3 linked regions of the Styela clava genome follow. The protein of the gene in region 2 binds, or shares a complex with, the protein of the main gene of each other region. Links are inferred from orthologs where the notes say so. Each region holds a gene or a part of one and is shown on either strand. Other genes may lie near its edges.

What was found. The genes of interacting proteins can lie anywhere in the genome.
Region 1: WD repeat-containing protein 20-like (region 2) and ubiquitin carboxyl-terminal hydrolase 46-like share a complex: the UniProt entries of both Drosophila melanogaster proteins name them as parts of the usp12-46 deubiquitylase complex. The link is inferred for Styela clava from reciprocal best matches to the Drosophila melanogaster genes CG6420 and Usp12-46.
Region 3: WD repeat-containing protein 20-like (region 2) and WD repeat-containing protein 48-like share a complex: the UniProt entries of both Drosophila melanogaster proteins name them as parts of the usp12-46 deubiquitylase complex. The link is inferred for Styela clava from reciprocal best matches to the Drosophila melanogaster genes CG6420 and CG9062.

Annotation. Positions count from the first base shown.
Region 1 is NC_135263.1:19,355,796-19,363,439, forward strand, and holds the start of ubiquitin carboxyl-terminal hydrolase 46-like, read left to right. Parts: upstream 1-4,642; 5' UTR 4,643-4,916; coding exon 4,917-4,943; intron 4,944-5,042; coding exon 5,043-5,123; intron 5,124-6,789; coding exon 6,790-7,021; intron 7,022-7,644. UniProt on the Drosophila melanogaster protein: Catalytic component of the Usp12-46 deubiquitylase complex.
Region 2 is NC_135251.1:17,321,255-17,328,676, forward strand, and holds the start of WD repeat-containing protein 20-like, read right to left. Parts: upstream 3,012-7,422; 5' UTR 2,924-3,011; coding exon 2,798-2,923; intron 21-2,797; coding exon 1-20. UniProt on the Drosophila melanogaster protein: Regulatory component of the Usp12-46 deubiquitylase complex.
Region 3 is NC_135253.1:16,167,902-16,175,077, forward strand, and holds WD repeat-containing protein 48-like, read right to left. Parts: upstream 3,003-7,176; coding exon 783-3,002; 3' UTR 355-782; downstream 1-354. Other genes in the region: general vesicular transport factor p115-like, read right to left, coding at 4,032-6,980. UniProt on the Drosophila melanogaster protein: Regulatory component of the Usp12-46 deubiquitylase complex. activates deubiquitination by increasing the catalytic turnover without increasing the affinity of deubiquitinating enzymes for the substrate.

The DNA of each region.
Region 1 (7,644 bases), on a different chromosome or scaffold from region 2:
GGTGCGCATATCCCACAGAGCACGGCGCGTTGGCAGAATCTCATGGTCTAGTGAGAATGACGTCATCGGAAACATCGCGCTCATTAAAATTTCAATGAACGATTATCAAAAATCTTGACCATGTTTATCATGATAAAAATATCAAAAAAGATGTAAAAAATATTCTATCTTTAAAACTGCTCACGTAAACAATGAAAGATATCTAGAAAATTACAAAAAATGCAAATTTCTGCTCTGGTGATCACATTCCCCATAAGAGCTAAGGTTAAAAAAATATTTTTTACATCACTTTTCTTTTTGCGCGTAGGATGGGTTTTTAATGAATAAGGTCTAATGCATAGTTCTTATGTATGTGTTGTAAACTTAAGGTTATTGGATTTCCGGGAACCTCTTATATTCAATTTCGCATCAGAATTGGGGAACAAGCTGTAATGCGTTCAGTATGTTCATTTTCACACAAACCTGAAGAACTTATTTAGTTACCAGATGTGCGCTATGAAACTCATTTTCTGGGCGTTTTCAAGGCTTCGTCTCACGGCCCATATCCGTGGTAAGGATCTACAAGTGTTTAATAACTTACTTGTACATTTTTTAACAACGTCTTAGCATAACTTAACTAATAATATCTAAACAGGGCTATGGAAAGGCTGCTCAACTCAACGCAAGGTCGAGCAGTAATAACTAATATTCATCCGCTCGCTAACAGCTGATTCGATTCAATTGTTACGTCATGCAGAAGTCATTGTTCATTGCCAAAAATGTAGAGAATATAGGACAGATCGTAGCACATATTTCTTGTAGTAAAAGCGTCTTTTCTGTAAAACGTGCAACTTTTGGAAGTGGGAACAAGGCAATATTTGTTACTAAATTTCTAAGGAACATTTTAAAATCATTTTCAGGTAGTTACCTGATGTGCGTTACGAAACTCACTTTCTAGGCGTTTTTCAGGGCCTCGGCTCGCGGCCTAAAACTTAATTTGAATATGGATGATCTATTTGATGAAGTTGCATCTATTCAAAAAATAATTTGGCACGATTCAAAACACTAAACTGTTTACAGAATGCAAAACAGCAAGCAGTAAATGGCACTATATCTTGAAAAGTTTTGATCTTAAGTGTGTTAATGTTGTCAAAATTGTTTCATTTGTGCTCTCAATTCGCGGAACCTCAGCTTATTGGGGACGCATTTTTAGTGTAATGTCATCTAAATTCTAAATGACGCAGTGAAAGGAACAGATGCTCCATACAACTAATGAAAAGTGAGCTTTTAATATGAAAGACACTTGTCGTGACTCGTGAATTTTCAGGAAAAATAAAGCGTGATCCACAATTGCCGAAGTAAGCAAAAAGTCAGAAGAAATATAACAACTGCAAAATTAGAGCTCGTTTGGGTCAATGGACTTTTCCCCGACCCTCGACCCCCGAAAAATTCTTCCTATACTTTATAATTGCAAAATTTTCTGGGTATATTTTAAAAGTGGATTCGCGAGTTGGCGCCTGTAAAATGAAGTATGTGTTTAAACCATCATCGCATACAGCAGTCTGTTTTTTAAAAGTACCGGTAGAGAGTTTTAGCCTAGTCTATCACAGCTATTTCTACACTAATTTTTTATCACTGCAATCAAATTAAAACTCCTAGGAAGAAAGAGTGATCATCAAATTATCTGATTTATATCTAAATTTCCGAAACACAACTGAAAACTAACGAATAGAGTTCAAAAACGCGAAAACGAGGAAATGTTTACGAGCACGCCTGGAAATCTGTCTGAGTGAGAAAAGTGTCTGAGCGGATGCGAAAAGGGAACCTTGTTACGTCACTTTTTGCATCTTGCTGATTGGCCAATGTCACGAAGTAAACAAGGAAGTCGATGCTCGGGGAAGGTCGATGTTAATCAAATATTAAATTAAAAAACACATAAAGATTTTTTTAATATATATATATATCTGTTTAGCTTGTATATAACTTTTATTTCATTGTTTTATATTGTTCTTTCCTGCAAGTTAAAAAAATAAATGTTGAGGGTGATCTATGTCCTTTATTGATACTTTCCATAGTTGGCAACCCTAGTCTCGTGTAGTTTCGTGCCTAACATACTTCTAGTGGGCGTAACATTTTTCATCAAAGCCCATATATACCTGTTTTTCATGTGTCAATCCTAACCCCGAGTCCCTAAACTTATACTTATTATACTCCCGACCTGACTATTCCATCCAAAAATTACGCCACAGTGACGTTATCGAGCCCTTCAAGCTTCAAACTACACGAACTGTCATCCAAGATGCGCAAACGAGCACCCGAAATCAAACAGCTATTTCTCTCGTTTTCTCCGCGCTACGATCCCTATATAAGAGAGAGATTGCTTACTTTAGTCTGTCATTCATCGTCGGCGCCGATGCCATTTCGGGCGATCGTTCGTGTATTTGGCAAGCTCCATGACGTGATTGTGACGTCGTAAGGACTTAATTTTTGTCAGGTGGACCCTAAATAGTTATTAAGAACAAATAAAGTGAAACAAAAACAGATTATAGAATCAGCAGAGCAAACAAAACCTTGAGAAAGGTTTATAGCGTTCTGACTCATTGTAAACTTCAAATTATTTCTGTATTTAGCATTCGGTTACCGCTCCGTACTGCAGAACTGTATTTTTCAAATGAACTGCAGAACTGGGTTTTGGTAAGGCAGTACTGCAGTACTGTGGTGAGGTGAGATTAGATAGCTCTGTTGCTAGTGGGGATATTGTTTTTTTCAGATGCATGTACTTGATTGTGGAAGAAGCGGTGTCCAAATGCGTTTATTTTGCTAAAACACGATTGCAGGATTGTGTCAGACACACTCTGATCAACTTTATTATCATTTTTTCCAACTTGTATGTGTGACTCACTTTTTCATGTGAAACGACCGAGGAGCCTTTTACTGCTGCTCATCAAGTATTTTTATTATTTTTGGATATATTATTTGTGTTACTTATGGTAAATGAGCACGTGCATTGCGCATTATAAACTTTATTCATTAGTTTTGATCTTTTTCTGAGCATTTCTGTTGTTTTGTTCATTTCATCGAGTTTTGTGTTTTCAGAATGCCATAATAAATTGTATCGTATTGTTCCATCACAAACAAAACAACTCGATCCTTGATTTCTAACAAGTGCATGCATGTGGTACAATTTGTATAAAACCTACTGACCAAGCTATTTGCATTGGACGCTGGATAATTCCTTTAAAAATTCACTATTTATCGCCATAAAACTAGGGTTTAAATATGTTCAACTCAAGTATCCTTTAAAAATTCACTATTTATCGCCATAAAACTAGGGTTTAATTATGTTCAACCCAAGAAATTTTGTGCTACTATTTTGATACTTCATAATGGAGCCTCATCTTTAATTGCATCAAGCATTGTTAATAAGCATATCTCCAAACTCGAGCCTGCTTGAGCCGAAATCTCTATTTCGAAACACAGGAACATCTGTGTACCAATATGTGAGAGGATTGATGAACTCTTTGTGGTCACATAAGGATATATTGGTTCTCATTTCTTCTGAGAGTGCAGAAGTGCTCAGCCTTTACAGTAATTACGAGAAGTTATTATATATTATGCAGTCACCTTTGTTTAGGAATATTTTGCATTGCAGCATTAATGCTGGTGTTTGTTAATATTTGGTGAATTAACACAATATATTTATCTTACAAACTTTTAGTTTTGCATGTTTTTTAAGTAGACTATATGACAATATAAAATGTGTACAGTATGCTTTCTTAATACTGTAATAGCGGTCTTACTACTTACTGAATACAGCGCGAAACACCGCAAAGAGCGCAAAACAGCGCGAAACAGCGTAAAACAGCGCAAAACAGAGGGAAACAGCGCAAAACAGTGTGGAAACAGCGCAAAACAGCGCGAAAGAGCGCAAAACAGAGGGAAACAGTGTGAAGCAGAAAAAAATTTTGCAATGAGTTCGGGACACCTTGTTTTGAGTTGGAGTACCACGGCAGCAAATTAAAAACACAAACCAACGTATGTAGCCAGTAATGCTGTAATGGCAGGTCTGCCCCTGCTGGTGACACATTTAGGGTACCATAATTTAGAACATTTTTCATATGGATATGGTTGGCTTTAGGGTTAGGGTTAGGTAAAAAGGGACCTCCAGAAGTATGTGCACCAAGATGGCGCACAACCTGAAAATAGTGTGTGTGTGTGTGTGTGTGTGTGTAGCGGATTCAGGTTGTGCGACATATTGCTGCACATACTTCTGGAGCACCAAAAAGGTAGATAAAATTTCGCATGATGACCTATAATCCGGTACATAACCTTGTAAATATGCCGGAAATAGCGCCATAAAACCATGGCGAGAGGCGCCGTGGTTCTTTCGTGGCAGGAGGTGGTAATGACTGCGTCTCCTGTTTTGCGCTGTTTCCCTCTGTTTTGCGCTGGTTTCCTTCTGTTTCGCGCTGTTTTCCTCTCTTTTGCGCTGTTTCGCGCTCTTTTGCGCTGTTTCGCGCTGTTTTGCGCTCTTTGCGGTGTTTCGCGCTGTATTCAGTAAGTAGTAAGACCCCTGTAATAGTACAGTAATAGATGGTTAATGTGTTGGAACATTAAAAACAGTTGCAGTCGTGAGTCGCCCCTATTGACATCATAGGTTCTGCGAAATATTTGCAAGGCTCTTTCTGTCACATGGTGATTGTAGCAACTATATCTGCTATTGTACATGTGGAACATTAAACTCATTACTTTTGAAAGTAAAACTATGTGCTTCTATATTTTTCTCAATATTCACCAGAACACATGATGTAATGTAATGTAACCATGTAAACCTGTTAACTAATATTTAACAGTCTGACACCTTTTAAAATATTTTGAATTTTTTGATGGAACAAGAGTATATAGCCATAAAATCCTATTACTAGATGTAAGATTTCATGAAGGGGTGTCTTCCAAGCATAATGGTGAGTTTTTTTATCTTTCAGTCTTTGGTTTGATATTACTGATTCGCAATTACACATGATTTATTGTTTCTGATACCAATTATTCAATGCTTTTTACAGGGAGCAAACGCTTCAGCACTTGTCAAAGATATCGGGCCAGAACAATTTCCTCCAAATGAACATTATTTTGGATTCATCAATGTATGTGACATGACTTTTAATTTGATTACTGTAGGAGTTTGGTAGTACTTATCGAAATAGTCTAAGTTTCAACTTACTAGCTTAGTCAAAGTTTGTTACGTAATATTGTCTTCGGTAGAGCGTGTCGTGCTTTGGAGCAACACTGTGAAAGCATGACATCAAAATTTTACTTCAAATCAAAGTGCTTCTGTGCCGAAGTTAAAGCTGTCTCGCGGTCCCCCTAAAATCGCTTCGCAGACCCCTAATCGGCCGCGGACCCTAGTTTGAGAACCAATGGTCTAGTACAGGGGTGTGCAACCTTTTTCACCGGCGGGCCAAATTCAAGTAACTGGGTGGAGCCGCGGGCCGCACCTTTATTTAATATGGACTTTCTCGTAATTACCGTTACAAAAATTGTTTATTTTTGCTAGTTATCTTACGGCAATATTAGGGTTTCTTGCAGAAATAGTGAGTTGAACGCAAACTTGTGTCACTGATATCATTGCTCTCATCCAATGCCAGACTGAAAGCTTCACTCACTTTGCAATGACGGTTAACAACAATTCCTGGCTAGTGAGATAACACATTTTATCTATAAACGTAATCTGCTAGACAGAGCTTATAACTGAACGAGTCTAAACCACAAATCCAAAGAATGCTTACGTCACGTACTGTCATAATCAAATTACTGTTTCTATCTAAGCAATAAAAAGATACACGAGGTCTTAATTAATTAAACTGTCGGATTGGGATTTTATGCTTGATGGGTAAAAATCAAGAGTATTGACAAGGGCCACACTAAATGGCTTGGCGGGCCGGGTTATGGCCCGCGGGCCGCCTGTTGCACACCCCTGGTCTAGTACAATATACAAGACAACTTCATTTTGATCTGATATTTATTCATGATTTCGATAGTCCTAATATAAATTGGCTAATTTTGGTAATGAGATATTCAATGATTTTGTAGATTTAATCAACCAGAATATATAGGATGGGATTTGGGACATATTTGTTCCAGGTGAGAGGAAAACGATAAGTTGGCTTAATCATATGGCGAACCACGGCCTCTCGTTCGGTTACCAGTCCATGTCTGGTATGAGATTAGTAAGCCAGTTATTTGTTTTCGGAAGCATGGACTTGATGGTGGAGGATGCCGCAACCGACTAGCGGTTCCTTGAACCACCCTACAGCGGCGAGAATTGCAGCGATCCTCTAGCACACTGGTTCTCAACCAGTGGGCCATGGCCTACTGCTGGGCCATAGAGACATTTTCAAGTGGGCCACAAGCCTATTACAAACTACTATGGTTATTGGAAAGTTTAATTTCATTTGTCATTATAGTCAAATTTTTATTGTAGTAGCAATGAATGATGCTGCTGCTTTTCATTCTGAGTATTAAAGTGAAAGTATTTATTTTTGCAAAAAGAATCTTGCTTTTCTTGTAGTTTTTCCCTTGCATGAGAAAGTTAGTGGGCCACAGAGTTTTTATGCAACTAAAGTGGGCCACGAAAGAAAAAAGGAGAGTCTAGCACATAACCATTTGCATGGGATTCGAACCTGCTAACTCACGCAGGGTAATCAGAGGTGCAGCGGCGGGTGTATTCCTAACGCTTAGCACAGTGCGCCACACCGCCAAGCCTTTTTTCTGGTTAGAGAGATTGTTCGATTTCAGTTCATTATCTTTCAGTTTGGGAATACTTGTTACTGCAACTCTGTACTACAAGCTCTCTTTTTCTGTCCACCATTCCGAGAAAAAGTTCTTCAGTATCGTCAGCAACTGAATGGAAAGCATGGGGGGAATAAAAAGGAAACATTACTCTCTTGTCTCTGCGATCTTTTCCACAGCATAACAACACAAAAGAAGAAAGTTGGGGTCATACAGCCAAAGAAATTTGTTGCCAAATTGAGAAAAGAAAATGGTGAGACATTATTTGCTCATTAGAAAATGATTTTTTTCGTGTAAATTTTATATTATGCAAGAATGTACCATCTAATGTCACAGTCCATAAATAAGCCTGAATTTTCTTTTTTTATCAATGATTTAATAATACCAGTGAAGAAACTTACTCAATGATAGGGTAGGGTACGTAGTGATTGTTGTAAAAGTAACGTTTGATTGTTGTAAAAGTAACGTTGTAATTACGATACGTCAACAGTGAGCGAATGAGATATTTGACTTTCAAGCTCGAGCGAGGAGAAGCAATTTTGTATTTATGAGAAGAGTGTGCCGCTATTCAGGAGCCATCGTGATTTTATATTTGTTTGGCAGCTCTAACAAATAGACTATTGTTGAATTGTTTGCCCTCATGGCTTTTAGTCAAACATTTCAAACCAAGTTTTATACTAATATTGGGTACTAATGTTCAGTTACACCTATTAACCACTATTTGTTCTGGAATTCCTAGGTATTATGAACGGCTTTGTATGTAAATAGGTAACTACCGGTATATGAGGTATATGCCGGTATATGAGATTGATTATGCTGTGATTTTCTATGATAAGTTTTATATATCTTCAAAACTTAATGCCGCACATACAATAG
Region 2 (7,422 bases):
GTTACAGCAGATGGTGGTCCCTGTATAAAAGTCATAAATTCAACACCAGTGCAAACAGACATGTAGTAGTGCTATGTTACTAGGATGTTATTGTCACACCTCTCATTTCTCTGGTCTGTTTTTTGATTCTGCTTATCAAGTTACGATAGACATAGAAAGATGCAACAATAACTTAACCAAAGATATAAACAAATTCCCAAAATTAGTGGCAAGATAGTGCAGTAGGATTATATCAATGGCAGTTGGTTATTACTGAAAAGAACAAATCGAGTAAACTAGAACTTAGCCAAGGTGATATTTAGATATTGCCCCTGACATGTGACAGATTGTTGCTGTTGGAGTCATCAAGAAAACTATCAGAAAAGCCAGAAGTGTGAAAGAAACCAAGGCAGCAGCAAAGCCCAATAAAAAAAACGAAAAGAAGCATCTAGCGCCCATCAACAATCTAAACCAGAAAATATCTACCGGTATTATATTAGTCCCCAACGGTGACCGTACATTTGAACCCATGTACATTTGAACCCATGCGTATATCCACGGGTTCAATCTATATGCGGGTGCTAAAACCCATGGGTTAGGGTTAGTATGGGTTTAACTATCCGTGAAACAAAAAAAATTCCATAGGTGCAATAGCATACAGGTGCAATTGTCATGGGTTCAAATGTACGTGGGTTCAAATGTAATGGAACCGTCCCCAACACAACTTAAACTAAGTACATATGTACTCCACATTTTCAATTAACAAAAGCAAAATTGAAGATAACTCTGGATTATAAAAGTAGGTTAGTCTAAGCATCAAGTCCCTAGCGCCACTTTTTGTCTCTTTCCAATAATGCCTAAAGACTATGTTGATTACAATTATGCTGGCAATAGGTTCCTTTTTGCAATATCCATTGAAGATATATTGAATCAGGTTATATGACCAATATTAGGACAGAATATACGAAATTGATGAATTGGAATTTGTCAGAAAAAAATTGCTTTAGTGAGAAGCAACCCGGAGACGGTTGAAAATTTTGGATGATGTTTCAATCCTGGCTTGCCGGTTGATGCATCATTTCAAGCATTACCGTCAGAAATACACATGCCATTGAAAGCATAGGGAACAATTTTATGCGACATAATTGCCAGCTCGTCGTTTTGGGGAGGTTCCCGCAACCCTGTAACCATTGGTCAGTAACAGGTTTTTTCTCCATGAAATTTATGGGTCTGAAACAAATAATTGATGAACTACACTCATACCCGCCATGGACTGCAACTTCTTCCACTAGCTGAGTACAGTAACATGGAGAAAGCATACCATATCCTAATATTGAGGATTGAATTGATTTAATATTCCCATACTTCAATTAGACTATCCAATGCCTTATTATAATATTACTGTATTATTACCTTTTTGCCAATTAAATCCCAATGCCAAACAGAATTTTTGTAAACTAATTGATATTCAGTATGAATTGAGACCAAATTCAATGAAAAGAGGTTGGGTTGTATTACTATTGGGGTCTGGTATAGTTTAGTACCACAAGTACTTCTGGTGGGCGCAGCATAACGAATTTTGCATATGTTATTCCTAACTATTCCTAACCTGACTATGTCATCTAAAAATTACTTCACTACGACCTCACAACACGTCATAGAGCTTGCAAATGTATAGCTACGATCGCCCAAAATGGCATTCGCACCAACCATACGAACTCTCTAACGCCAGCAGTTACTCTAATATCGGGATCGTTGCGTCGAGAAAACAAGAGAAATAGCTTGCTCGATTTCAGGTGATCGCCGACCCGTTTTGGACGACCATTCGTACACTTCAAAGGTCTAAACGTCCTCAAGTGACGTAATTTTTTAGTGAAGTAGTCAGGTGGGGGTTAGGAATGACATATGCAAAAATTGTTGAGCCAGGCTAATTAGAAGTAGGGTGGCTTAGTCACTTTGCGGCCATCGACTTCACGACCATCGACTTCATCGATTAAATTAATGTCGAAAAAATTAACAAACAGCGTGGATATTTCTCACGCGTTAACGTCCACTTATCCCCCGCAGCTCTGCGAGATTACACTAAAATGCGGCCACAAACGAAAAAGTTAAGACCGAAAACCGGACCATTTTTTCATGTTGCCGACTACCCATTGTCTCTCTGAAAAAGAGAGATAAAAAGATGAAACTTGGCAGGTGGGTAGAGTTGTGTTTCTTTTAACCATCTTTAAAGTTTCGCGTTTCTACATTTAAAGGAGGGGGAATAGGGGGGTGCACATTTCCAATACGTCAATATTATCTTTGCTGACCAATTTGTTTTTGTCTGTTTGATTGCTGTGATGCGGTGCTTTGTTTATAATTTGACGAGTTTTGTTCGAAATAAACGTGTTCTTAAAATATATGACGGTCAGAAATGCAGTTAAAAGCCCAAGTTTTTCACGCATGGCCCTAGTCTCGAAGCAGCAGAAACGATGTTCAAGGCTTGAAATCCGTGGTCGAAGACTAGTCGTTTGGTCGCAAATACGTCTTCAGAGTGTCGTACTTTGGTGGTTTGTATAGCTTTAACCTCTCGTCGTAGAAAGTTAATTCGAGGTTTAGTGTGTAAAATAAATGCCAATGCACCTACGATGAAAAAATTGGCGGGTTGGAATTATTGGTTTTTGTTTTATAGCGGTTTGAATGAAATCGTCCCCAGACAGGCTACACCACCCTATATGTTGCACTAAACTATACCAGACCCTTACTATTGTACCATAACTCTGCACAGTACAGCAGTACAGTGTCTAGGATAACGACAAAATCTTATCTTAGCACTCACCTGCGCAGTGTATGGAACTCTGTTTGGTCTGCAGTATTCAAAGTTTGGCATTTGCTTGTAAGTTCCCTCTCTGGTGGTAAACCGTGACCTGATATCCAACTCCCTGCCCCCTCCGTCCAATGCCATGGCCGAAATAAAAGGGCGAAACGGCCACAAAATAGTTTGCAAAAATGCGACTCCACTGTCTTTCGGGCGAATTTAATCAACAACAAGGATGCAACCCAAATAATATTGGTCCAGCAATGCCCCCAGTGGTCACATATTCATTATATTTATTTCTTTATCAACCACACGGTGGGGTTGGGTAATTTTTGCTTTTATGATAAATTTTCCAGACTGTTTTGCTGATTTCGATTTAAATTATTCGACCATTTTTTAGCTTAATTTATGTTTTGATTTATGTTCGTTTCCTTCGCAGTGCGCCGTACTAAGCGCCAGGAAGCCCACCACCAAGTCAGGCATCTGAAACAAATAACTGGCCAACCCCATACCGACGCGGACTGGTAATCGTACGAGAGGCCATGGTACGCCATTTGAATACGCCGTATTATCGGCTTTACTCTTCGCCGAAATTAAAATGACATCTTATTCTTTTCTTCAACAGACTTCGAGTTGAACCTCCGCTAGTAAAAGTTTCTAAGTGATTTTCCACTACTACGGGTAAGATTACTGTACTGACTACCGCAATACGTGAATAACGAAGGTTAAAAGTATTGCATTGATGAGGTACAGTGATGGATTAACCATTAAACAGAAAAAGCACTTGTTTAGGGCACCAGATATTTCCGCGACCTGCGCGATCTGCAATAGAATCCCAAGAAATGCATGTATGATGGAATGGAAACTGATTGACCATAGCTTACCTTGCATTGATTGCTTTTATTTCATCAGAATCCGGTGGAATATGACGTGTGGCCGCGCGTAGTATCAGAGCGTACATCACAATACAGGTACAATATACTGATTTTTATCTTTAGTGCCTGCGATGGTATGTTTTACCTATCATTCTTAACACATATTTTTAGTGTGTATACTGTATGATATCGTTTCAATATGTAAAAGAACTAAACGCCGCGTCAATTTTAATCTGATATGTTTTCTAAATTTAGAAACAGTAAACCAGAGATAAGACGGTCAGTACAAGAGCCAGAAAGAATCAAATTGATAAACCTCCGTCCAGTCTTTTAGTATTCCTCTAATGACGGTCATAAATTTAGTTTGCAGACTCAATTCTTCGAATTATCCTATGCATCTTGTTGCCATGATTGCATGGTAAAGCATTTTTCGTGTAAAAAATGTAGGCTACTACAAATTTAAAGAGGTACCTGCTTCGAATCAACGCAGTATGTTTGTTATTTTGTCGGGGTAATTTTTTTGAGGGTAGCGGTAGCGTCAAGGGTAAGAACTGCTTCACCATGTGTAACGTGTTCATATATTTGAGTATTGCTTTGGTGTAATTGTAAATGTAAGTGTAATTTGATATTTTTTGCACGGAGTAAATGTAATGTAATTGAAAAGTTTAAGGGAGAAATTGTAATTGAACTGAAATAATGTAATTGATCCAACTCTGGCCGCGAGCAAGCGAAAACAGCAACCAAGGGTAGCAGAGATGCAGAGGATATAGGAACTAGAGAAGAGAAGCCAAGGGGAGCATAGATGCAGAGGATATAGGAACTAGAGAAGGGAGCCAACGTGCAAGCGAAACAGCAACCGGGGGGAGCAGAAATGCAGAAAAAATATGAACCAGAAGCCAAGGGGAGCAGAGATGCAGAGGATATAAGAACTAGAGAAGAGAATCCAAGAAGGGAGCCAATACGAGGACAACCAAGGGCAGAGGATATATGTACTAGAGAAGAAAAGCCAAGGGGAGCAGAGATACAGAGGATATAGGAACTAGAGAAGGGAGCCAACAGCAAGCAAAATGGCAACCGAGGGGAGCAGAAATGCAGAGCAGCTATGAACCCTGACAAGCCTGACCAGCCGCCAAGGGAATATACGCCAGCTGTGCAGTCAAAATTAAAGAAAAGCTGAGAATGAGCAAGAAAAGAAGAGTGGCAAGTCCAAGGAGATCAGCGATAAAACGGCTAATACAAATCGGCAGCGAAGCTGGCTAGTGCGAGTGGAAGAAGGTCCAGGAGATCAGCGATCAGGGGTAAAACGGCTAATACAAATCGGCGCCGACGATTTCTAGTGCGAGTGGGAAAAGGTCCAAGGAGAGCAGCGATCGGGGGTAAAACGGACAATACAAATCGGCAGCGAAACTGTATGGTGCGATTGGAAGAAGGTTCAAGGAGATCAGCAATCAGGGGTAAAACGGCTAATACAAATCGGCGGCGAAGCTGTCTAGTGCGAGGGGAAGAAGGTCCAAGGAGATCAGCGATCAGGGATAAAACGGATAATACATATCGGCAGCAAAGCTGTCTAGTGCAAGTGGAAGAAGGTCCAGGGAGATCAGCGATCAGGGGTAAAACGAATAAAACAAATCGGTAGCGAAGCTGTCTAGTACGACAATCAAGCATCAAAATAAAAATATGACGAGTGTGAAAGAATACAAATAAAAAAAGGCAGCAGGGTCCAGGGGGATCATGAGTAAAAACGGAGCGATAATAGAAATCGGCAAATAGACACGAGGGAATAATATAGATCAGCAAGGCTGTGTTGGTGGGGGAGTAAAAACTAAAAATAAAAATAAGAAAAAGTGCAGCAGGGTAGAAAAAGAAAATATAATTGGCGAAAAATATACGTGAGGGAAATTAGGGAGGCCGAACAAAAATTACGATAAAAAATATCAAAGCGCTGGTGGGAGCGAAAGTAAGCCGCAGTAGAAGGCGAAATAATTAAACAGGGAGTGCAGAATAATAGAAATGAGCGAGGCGGCAATCAAAAAGCAACAAAAAAGTCCAGGGTAAATAAATAAAGGAAGTCAGGGAGAGCCGCGAAAGAAATTGAGATGGAAGAAGTGTGAAAAAGGCTGTGTGAGTGAAAGTAGGATGGAAAATAAGAAAAAATGGGAATCAGCGAGGCCAAGAAAAATAAATTAAGATAGTGAATGGAATGAAAGAAAATAGGGAAGAGGGGAAGAATGGAAAATAAATAAATATAAATGAGCTAAAGATGGTAGGGAGGTAGGAAATAAATGAAAAAGGGAAAGCATCGTACTGATCGTAGTCAATACGAGGAAAAAATAAAAGATTTATTTATATTAGAGCAAAGGTGGAAACCGATCATAAAAATGAAGAATAAAGCCAGCGCTATAGTAAAGAATACTCGGGGTGGAAATAGAAACAATGAGACCCCAAGGGAAAAAGAAAGATATAATATAATAATGAGTAGCCGTCAGGACGTAGGAAATAACTTAAAAAGAAAGCATCGTAGTAAATACAAGGAAAAAATAAAAGATATTATATTAAAGCAAGCAAGTTGTAAGGTGAAAACCGTTCATAAAAATGAAGAATAAAGCCAGCGCTATAGTGAAGAATGTGGGTGAAAATAGAAACAATGAGGCCCCAAGGGGTAAAAAAGATGGAATGTGAAAGAAAATAAAAAATTATCGAGGCTGGCTGGAGCAACAAGAAACTGGATTCTCTACAAAAATTATGCAAAAGTAACACGTTTGCTCATAACAAAAATAAAACAAGTGTAGGAGATTTGTTTTCTATAACCTAAAAAAGATTAATAACCAGTTTGCCATGTTGTAATAAAATTCCTTGGATGGGGAAAGATCGGCCAACCAGAATCTCCACATATGAAAAGAAAACAAGGGAGCGAAGTTCAAATATATGGTCACGAAAGCCAAAACAAAATATTTCACTCACAATTTCTCAAAACTATACCCTGAAGGAAGCTTGAACTATGTGACGGTGGACCCACAAATCTGGTAACCGTCATATAGTTCAAGCTTCCTTCAGGGTATAGTTTTGAGAAATTGTGAGTGAAATATTTTGTTTTGGCTTTCGTGACCATATATTTGAACTTTGCACATCTACTACCAAAATTTTCGAGACCAAATTTGCACTATCATAGACCGAATGCGGATCGGTGATTGTCTATCAGTAGTTCTCAAACTTTTTAAGCCGCGCCCCCTTTTAGGATTTGTCAAGTCTCGCGCCTCACCTTAAAAATAACTAGCCAACAATAAGCTACAAATAACATATAGTAAGGCCGAAGTAGCCTATGTTTCATTTAAAAACACGTTGAAAATACGTAAACAAAGCGTAAATATCCCAAATGAAGCAACTAAATATCCAATATATAGCGGGCAAAATCAAATTTGACAAATGTTTACATCAAACAATATAGAGGCACTGTCGTAACCCGCTGTTTCTGCTAATGTTGGTTCAAAGACAAAACTCTTGGAATTTAAATTTCATTCCAAAAAACTACCGAAATTTTTACTGAACACTTGCTCTTGGTAAAAATGACTAGTTGTTGGATTTCGTGTGGACAACTGCGACACGAACTTGGGAGTAAAGAGACACACGATGCTTTCCTCGGAACAGAAATAAACCACAAAATAGTATTCCCGACATAGGGTGTGCTGCTCACAACTGCATCTAGCACACCGTGAATACCTTGCGCCCATTCGCGTTGGAAGCCTTGACATAATGCTAGCAGAAATTGTAAAA
Region 3 (7,176 bases), on a different chromosome or scaffold from region 2:
CACGGCCTCTCGTCCGGTTACCAGTCCAGGTCAGGTATGGGATTAGTTAGCCAGTCATTTGTTTTCGGAAGCATGGACTTGATGGTGGAGGAAGCCGTAACCGACCAGCGGTTACGTGAACCACCCTACGGCGGCGAGGAGTCCAGGAATCCTCTCGCACATGATCACCCCCGCATGCGATCCCACGAAGGATAATCAGAGCTTCGGTGGCGAGCGTATTCCCAACGCTTAGCACGATGCGCCACACCGCCGAATATAGGGAACTTTTCGATTTGTAATTCTGCCGTCTGCCGCTTCGGTTTCAAGTTTGCCACAAGACGACAACAAATGTGCTATATTATAAAATATGCCATATGTATGATTCCATATTTATTTTAAAATATTAATAACGATTAGGAACCTGATAAACAGTCATCATTGCTGTCCTACATATTCAGTATTCATAGACTTGGTCCACAGGATAAAGCAGAAATCATCATGCGGTATTGGCCATGGGTCGAGAAGGACTGTACTCAAAACACGAATCTATGCCGTAGATAATTTACTAGTATTATCCGAATATTATAATTCCTGAATTTACATCTCATCTTCAGGATTTAGTAATAATGATAATAAGCATCGAAAATTGAAGGCTTGGAGGGGAACACTGGTCCATTGTCATATAAAGGCCATTATTCTATAGCTTTTCTTGGATTTGCCTGTCATTAGCACAATATAAATAAAATATAAGAAAAGTAATGAAAATGAAGTGATATAAATTAAATTTCTACTGCAAATGGGTGTTATGGAATAGGTTGAAGCTTATAATGCAAAATCATATCACTGCTTGATTTCCAAATTAAATGTTTCACAGTACGCAGATCTAATGATGGATCGAGAACTTGCTCCTGGCATAACAGCACAACTTTGTCCATAATCACAGATGATTTATCTATATCAGTCTTAGCAGCATCAGTGTTACCAGTTGGGGTAGACTTCTTACTATTGCTTGAAGTATCATGTTTATCTGCATTTGCAGTTGGAGATGCTGTCGGCGTGCTTGATGATGTTTGAGTTGAATCCTCTTCCAAACATAAGACTTTCTCATATACATGCTCCATTACTTTACGTATTGAGAGCATGTCACTTGCAGACAATCTATCCTTTTTGAGATTTTTTATTGATGAGTTAGGATGCGGATGCAAATAAAATGGAATTTTAACAAACTTTGTGGGTATCTTTTTCTCAACAGCAGTATCAACTACCCACTGTGGAACAGTGTCTCGCAATAACATAGACTCCGATTCCCCTGCAGCATCTCGACAGAGTAAGCGAAACAATGTACGACCACCTACTTCACTAAATATTACTGGAGTGTGGCCAGGGACTGAAAAATATCTATTTCCCTTAATAATTTTATGAGGTCTTTGTTTGTGGCTCGGTGAACGTTCACCTTCTCTATCATTCTTCTCATCACTGTCATTTTCCGACGTGTCTTCTATGTGTAAATGTGTACTTGGCCAATGTTCCAGCAATGCCTGCAGCAACAAACCACCATAATTAAGCTTGGTACTGGGATCTGAATTTTCAAATCCCGCTACATCTTTTGCTGTAACCCAGGCAGAAAAACAGTCAGGTTCTTCTAAATGTATACTCAACATGCCGAGTTTTAAATCGACACTAAACCAATTTGGAACATAAAGCATTTTTTCTCTTTTTTTAACTTCGGCTTCGAAATCCTTTTCTGCAAGATCTTCTAATTTTCTTGCAATGAGTACATCCCATAATGCTATATTATTGTCAGTGTCCTTTGTCAATATATGTCTTTTATCTGATAATATTTTGTAATGAAAAATACTTGCTTCACCAGGGAATGTATATGAAGGTTGCGTAAACTCGGGCTGTGTTGTAGTCAAAAACTCCTCTTCAGACATCACCTCATCAAATGATCCACCTGTGGAAGCTCCATTTATATCTGATTGCCCCTTCAATGGCCAAACATTGACTGCGGAACTAGTTGTTGCGACAAAAATCTCATTCGTATTTTCTCGAGAATTCACCAGTAGTTTCAACACAGGAGCATTTTCTTCACAAACGACGTATTTCGAGGCATCTGGATCACATAAATCAGTGCACACAACCCTTCTGTCTCTCCCAGATGAATAAATTTTGGTGAAAGATGAAGCATTGTCACCTTCCGCAGCAGCGAGAGCCCACACTCCCTCACTGTGTATATGCATTGTAAGAATACATCTCTGTTGCCCGAGAGACCACAGACGTATTGTGCCATCTGAGCTACCAGATAATACTTGTGTACCATCTCTATTCACCAAAAGTGCTTTAACATTATCTGTATGTCCTTTCAATTTCATTTTTTTATCACATGTACGTGGGTCCCAGACTCGAAGAACTCTTTCTGTCGAACCTGCGACCATAACAGTCCCTGCAGCATTCATTGCTAAGCTGTATATTGACTGCTTACAACCATTCACATTAGATGTTGTAACAGTATTCCGAGCTGTAGTAAGAGCTGTTAATGTATTAACATCCCATATAAATATTTGTCTGTCGAGGCCAGCACTCGCGACATGTTCGCGATGTCTTGCATATGCTAATGCTCTCACATAATCCTTATGTGTACGTAATGTAGACATACAATACCCTCGATGGGCGTTCCAAACCTTTACAGTTGTGTCAGAAGATGCAGAAATCAAAGTTCGGTTGTTGCAACAAAGTACAATATCATTTACCCAGTCAGTGTGATGTTCCATTGATGCTTCATAAGAACCTCTGTTCATTTTTCCATGTTTTTTAGAATTATCCATTTCTTTTTGAGCAGACTCACAATCCCACATTCTGATAATTGAATCTCTTCCAGCAGTGAATAAACGATTTGCAACAGGATCATATTGTAGAGCATTAATACCAGAGCGATTCAGCATTTCCACTTTATCACGAATGATATACGACACCTGAATCTTTTTCCGTGATAACGATGGATCTCGACGTTGATGCATTGCCATTTTTTATAACATCAAATTGAAGTCTCTTTACATTAAAAATCTTAATCTAATTCATTCTAGAAGATTTTTCTGAAATAACAGATATCACATCACCGGTAAATAATAAAACAGCAATACCTTTTATTTTATGAAAGCATTCAAGATATTGGACCCGAGTTACAGCCATCCATTAACTGGTCGTAATTGCACAAAAAACTAATGATTGCAGAGGCCATATCTTATACACAGAAAAATAGACTCAGAAGTAGATAATCACGGAGTGAGTATTTGATAATACAAGGTTTCAGATCAAACTTATAAAAACTTATCATGCACTGAATGATACAAATTGGGCCATATGACATACCTAGGCAAGATCTCATGCACCTATTTGCCCTCAGAATGAACAGAACGTCCTATTCAAATATGACCAAATCATGTGATATAAATATTTGTACATAAGCAAAAAATAAAACTATAAGAAAATACCACAACATTACTTTTCATTATAGATAATACCTATAATATGATACAACAGCATACAATATTAGATAAAAGTATGCTTAAGTATGACATGAAAAATATAATACATTGCCTTGGAGAAATTTGAATCTAAAAATTTCATAGAAAGCCCCAATGTTCTTGTAAAATGATTATCATCATAATTCATAATATTATCAGACCTATCAGAGTGTTTCTACTTTCATATTCTACAATCCTTCTCCATAAATGATTATTATCGTGAGGAATGCGCAATTAATCCATAACATTCCTATGAGTGGAGCAGCAAAAAAAAGTATCTTAAAGATATATTCAATATAAAAATAGCTGAAAAGGAGTCCTAACTGTACAGGAAGCCTATCGTATGCATGGACATACAAGCAGTAAATCTAGAATTCCTTCAAATTCTCTTATACAAATCTGTATGAAATTTACATAATATTACATAGCATTCCATTCTGAGATTTAAAGCAGTGAGACATGTACAGCAGTCTAAATAGAATTTGTACTAATATGGAATAAAAATATTTTCAAGAATTATTTTTGACATTATTCTGGGTGGGTGTTAACACCATTAGTGTCTCCAGGTTGAGAATTTTGCTTTAAGGATTCTATAACATCTTCATCTTCCTCATCATCCTCTTCTTCTTCATCATCATCTTCATCTGATATTTCCCCACCTAGAGTCTTAATTTTAGTTTTATAAGATTCTAGCTTTGTCTCCTGGTCTGATAAAAGAATAAGCAAATCTTCTTGCTCTTTTTTGAAATCTTCAGCTTGTGCTTTTGCCTCTTCTGCCTTGGAGTTTGCATCGGTAACTTGTTGTACAAGAGATTCTTCTTTACTCTGTAAATTGGAGAGTTTTTCCTCAAGTGTTGAGATTTTATCCTGAAGTGTGAGGTTTTCTTGGCTGGTAACATTCAATCTGGATTCAAGATCATGAATCTTTGTTTGCATTGACGTCTTCTCAGAAACAAGTACATCATACACTTCATCAGTTGTGTTTTGAGAGCGTGCACCTTCTGATAACAACCTAGAAATTTCTTCATCCTTCGCTTGAAGTTGGGATCGTAATGAATCAACTTCATTTGTGAGTTGTACTAATCTATGTTCTTGTAGTCTCGAATCATCAGGCACATTGATGGCATGTATACTGTCATCTGGTATGTTAGTATTGCTTTGTTGATTGTTGTTTTGTTGAGTTTCATCAGAGGACGAGAGTTGCAGAGAACGAAGTTCTAAACCATCAAGATCATTACGTAACTGTTGAATAGAATTTTCTTTTTCTTGTAATTTTGCATTTTTTTCTGCATTTTCTTGCTTCAGTTCCTCAATTTGCACATTCAAAGATGACAATAACTCGGCAGCATCGCTGACACCATCCCCAGATGAAGAATCATGCATGGTTTTCAATACGTTATATTGATCTTTTAATTGCTGAACTTGTGCTGTGCGTTCATCCAAGTTTTCCTTTGTTTGTGATAATTCAGATTCAAGACTGGAAACACGAGATCTCAATTCTTTTAAATCTGTATCTTGACTTCTTATTAGAGCCTGATATTCCTTTATGATAGAATCATGGGCCTTGATGGCGGCTTTTGATTCTTCCTCTTTCTTGACATCCTCTAAATTTGAAACCATTTTTATAATATTATCTTCCAAAGTTTTGAACAATTTAGTAAAATTATGATCGAACAACATATCATCTGAAGATGGTGCAACAGGTTGAGAACGTTGAAACGCTTTAGAATACAGATCATGTTTTGTAACTGCTCCGAGAGAGTCACAAAATCTTTCAATTCCTACTCTTGCTACAATTAACTCAATGAGTGACTCTTTCGTGCATTGAGGAACTGAACCATCATTATCAACAATGCATATTCCTAGCAAAAGAGCACATACTCCATGCAAAACGTGGTCCAATTCATTTCCGTGCTCGGCTATTTGGCTCAAAAGGAAAGGAACAGCATCTGAATCATGTAATAAATGGGAAACAGCAATTGGACAACCAGAAAGCCAACTGCACAATAGAATAAGTAGACCCATTCGACTTTGGATGCTCGTTGATTGCCTAACTATATTTGTAATTTGCTGCAGCAAAGATATAGGTGGATTTCCTACACTTGTCGCGAGTTGCACTCGTAACAGTTGCTGTTTCATTTCGGTATTACGATTTAATGCATGTGAAAGCGCGACAGCAGAACACCAATTAGACAGTGGATCAGAAGCAGCAAATAATCCTCCACAAAGCAGCTGACCGGCAGAAATTTGTTGTGACTGAAGTGAGGAAGGCAGTAATGTGTTGACAATTTTTGTCTGTCCTGCTGGGTTAACATGTAAAAAGCATTGGAAGCAATACAAAACAGCACACCGTAATTCAAAAGGCTGTTTGTCATTGACCATTGACATCAACAAAACAACAATCGCTGGACGAGGGGGCTCACAAGGTGCATGAACAGATTCAAACATAGCTTGGTTAGCTTCACATCCCCTAATAACTTCCGAAACAGTATTGATAGTTTCTGTTAAAATATCTGCCGGGACACCAGTGGCCATCAACATATTACACAGCCTCTCTAGTAATCCACATTGCTGCATTACAAGCTGGCAAGAAGATGTCACATTCGATGGATTTGAAGGTGCAACCAACGTTCTTACAAGTTTCAGCATGAGATGCAAATTCGCAACTTTTTGTGCAGACCATACAGACTCTGAATCAATTTCAAAAAATGGTGTCAAACGCTGCACAAATGAACCTTCTTTGAAAAATTGCTGGTTTGATGTGTTTCTCTTTAGTAAATGTAGTAACAACAAAAGGCAATCTTCTACTACAACTCCACCATCACTCATCCCTTCTGCCCTTATTATATCCAAAATAATATCAAAGCCATTTTCAAAAGCAATAATTTTTTGAATGTTGGAATTTCCACGCGTCAGTTCTATGAGCAACAATAACGCATCATTTCGAATGACCTCTCTTGAATCGGTCAATAAATCGATTAGTCGAGATATACCCATGGGTTTCATAAGCACAGTTTCTTGTATTTTACCAGGTTGACCTTTCAGTAATGAAATCATAAGCCGTAGTGCGGAGAGTCGAACACTAAAATCATATCGCTCAACGAAATCTAATACCACATTTATATTATTCTCTTCTGCGGTAAATTTTTCGACAAATGTACGAGTTAATTCAGGTTGCGGAACTACGTCATCATCTTCTTCCATATCAGACATAAGATTGCATAATGTATCGAGTGCGTATGCCACCATTTCATCATCATTTGCGTCTTGATCTAAAACAGTAGCAATATGAGCCATTCCCTGTGTGCCAACTTCATATCTAAACTTTCTCGACAATGATTTTAATGCACGAACAGCATCTCGACGATCTTCAAGGAGCGTAGATGATGCAACACGATCACAAAGTCTTGATACGGTTTCTGCTCCACTCGGCTGTTGCTCATCACTGCCTTTCACAAATGATTTAAAATAATTCATTTTGTAATGCTGTTTATTGATATCTATTTATGAAAAAAGAAAATGAAATAGTTAGTGGTTTTGACTATTTTTTTACTGGATTTGGGGTATTGGTCCAATGCTTCCATTCCCCAGAAGTTTTTATAGCAGTCAAACAAGTCTGCGAGTGTATGTTTTGGTGGGCAATATGGCACTTGGAAATGGAAGTGCCTTTTCA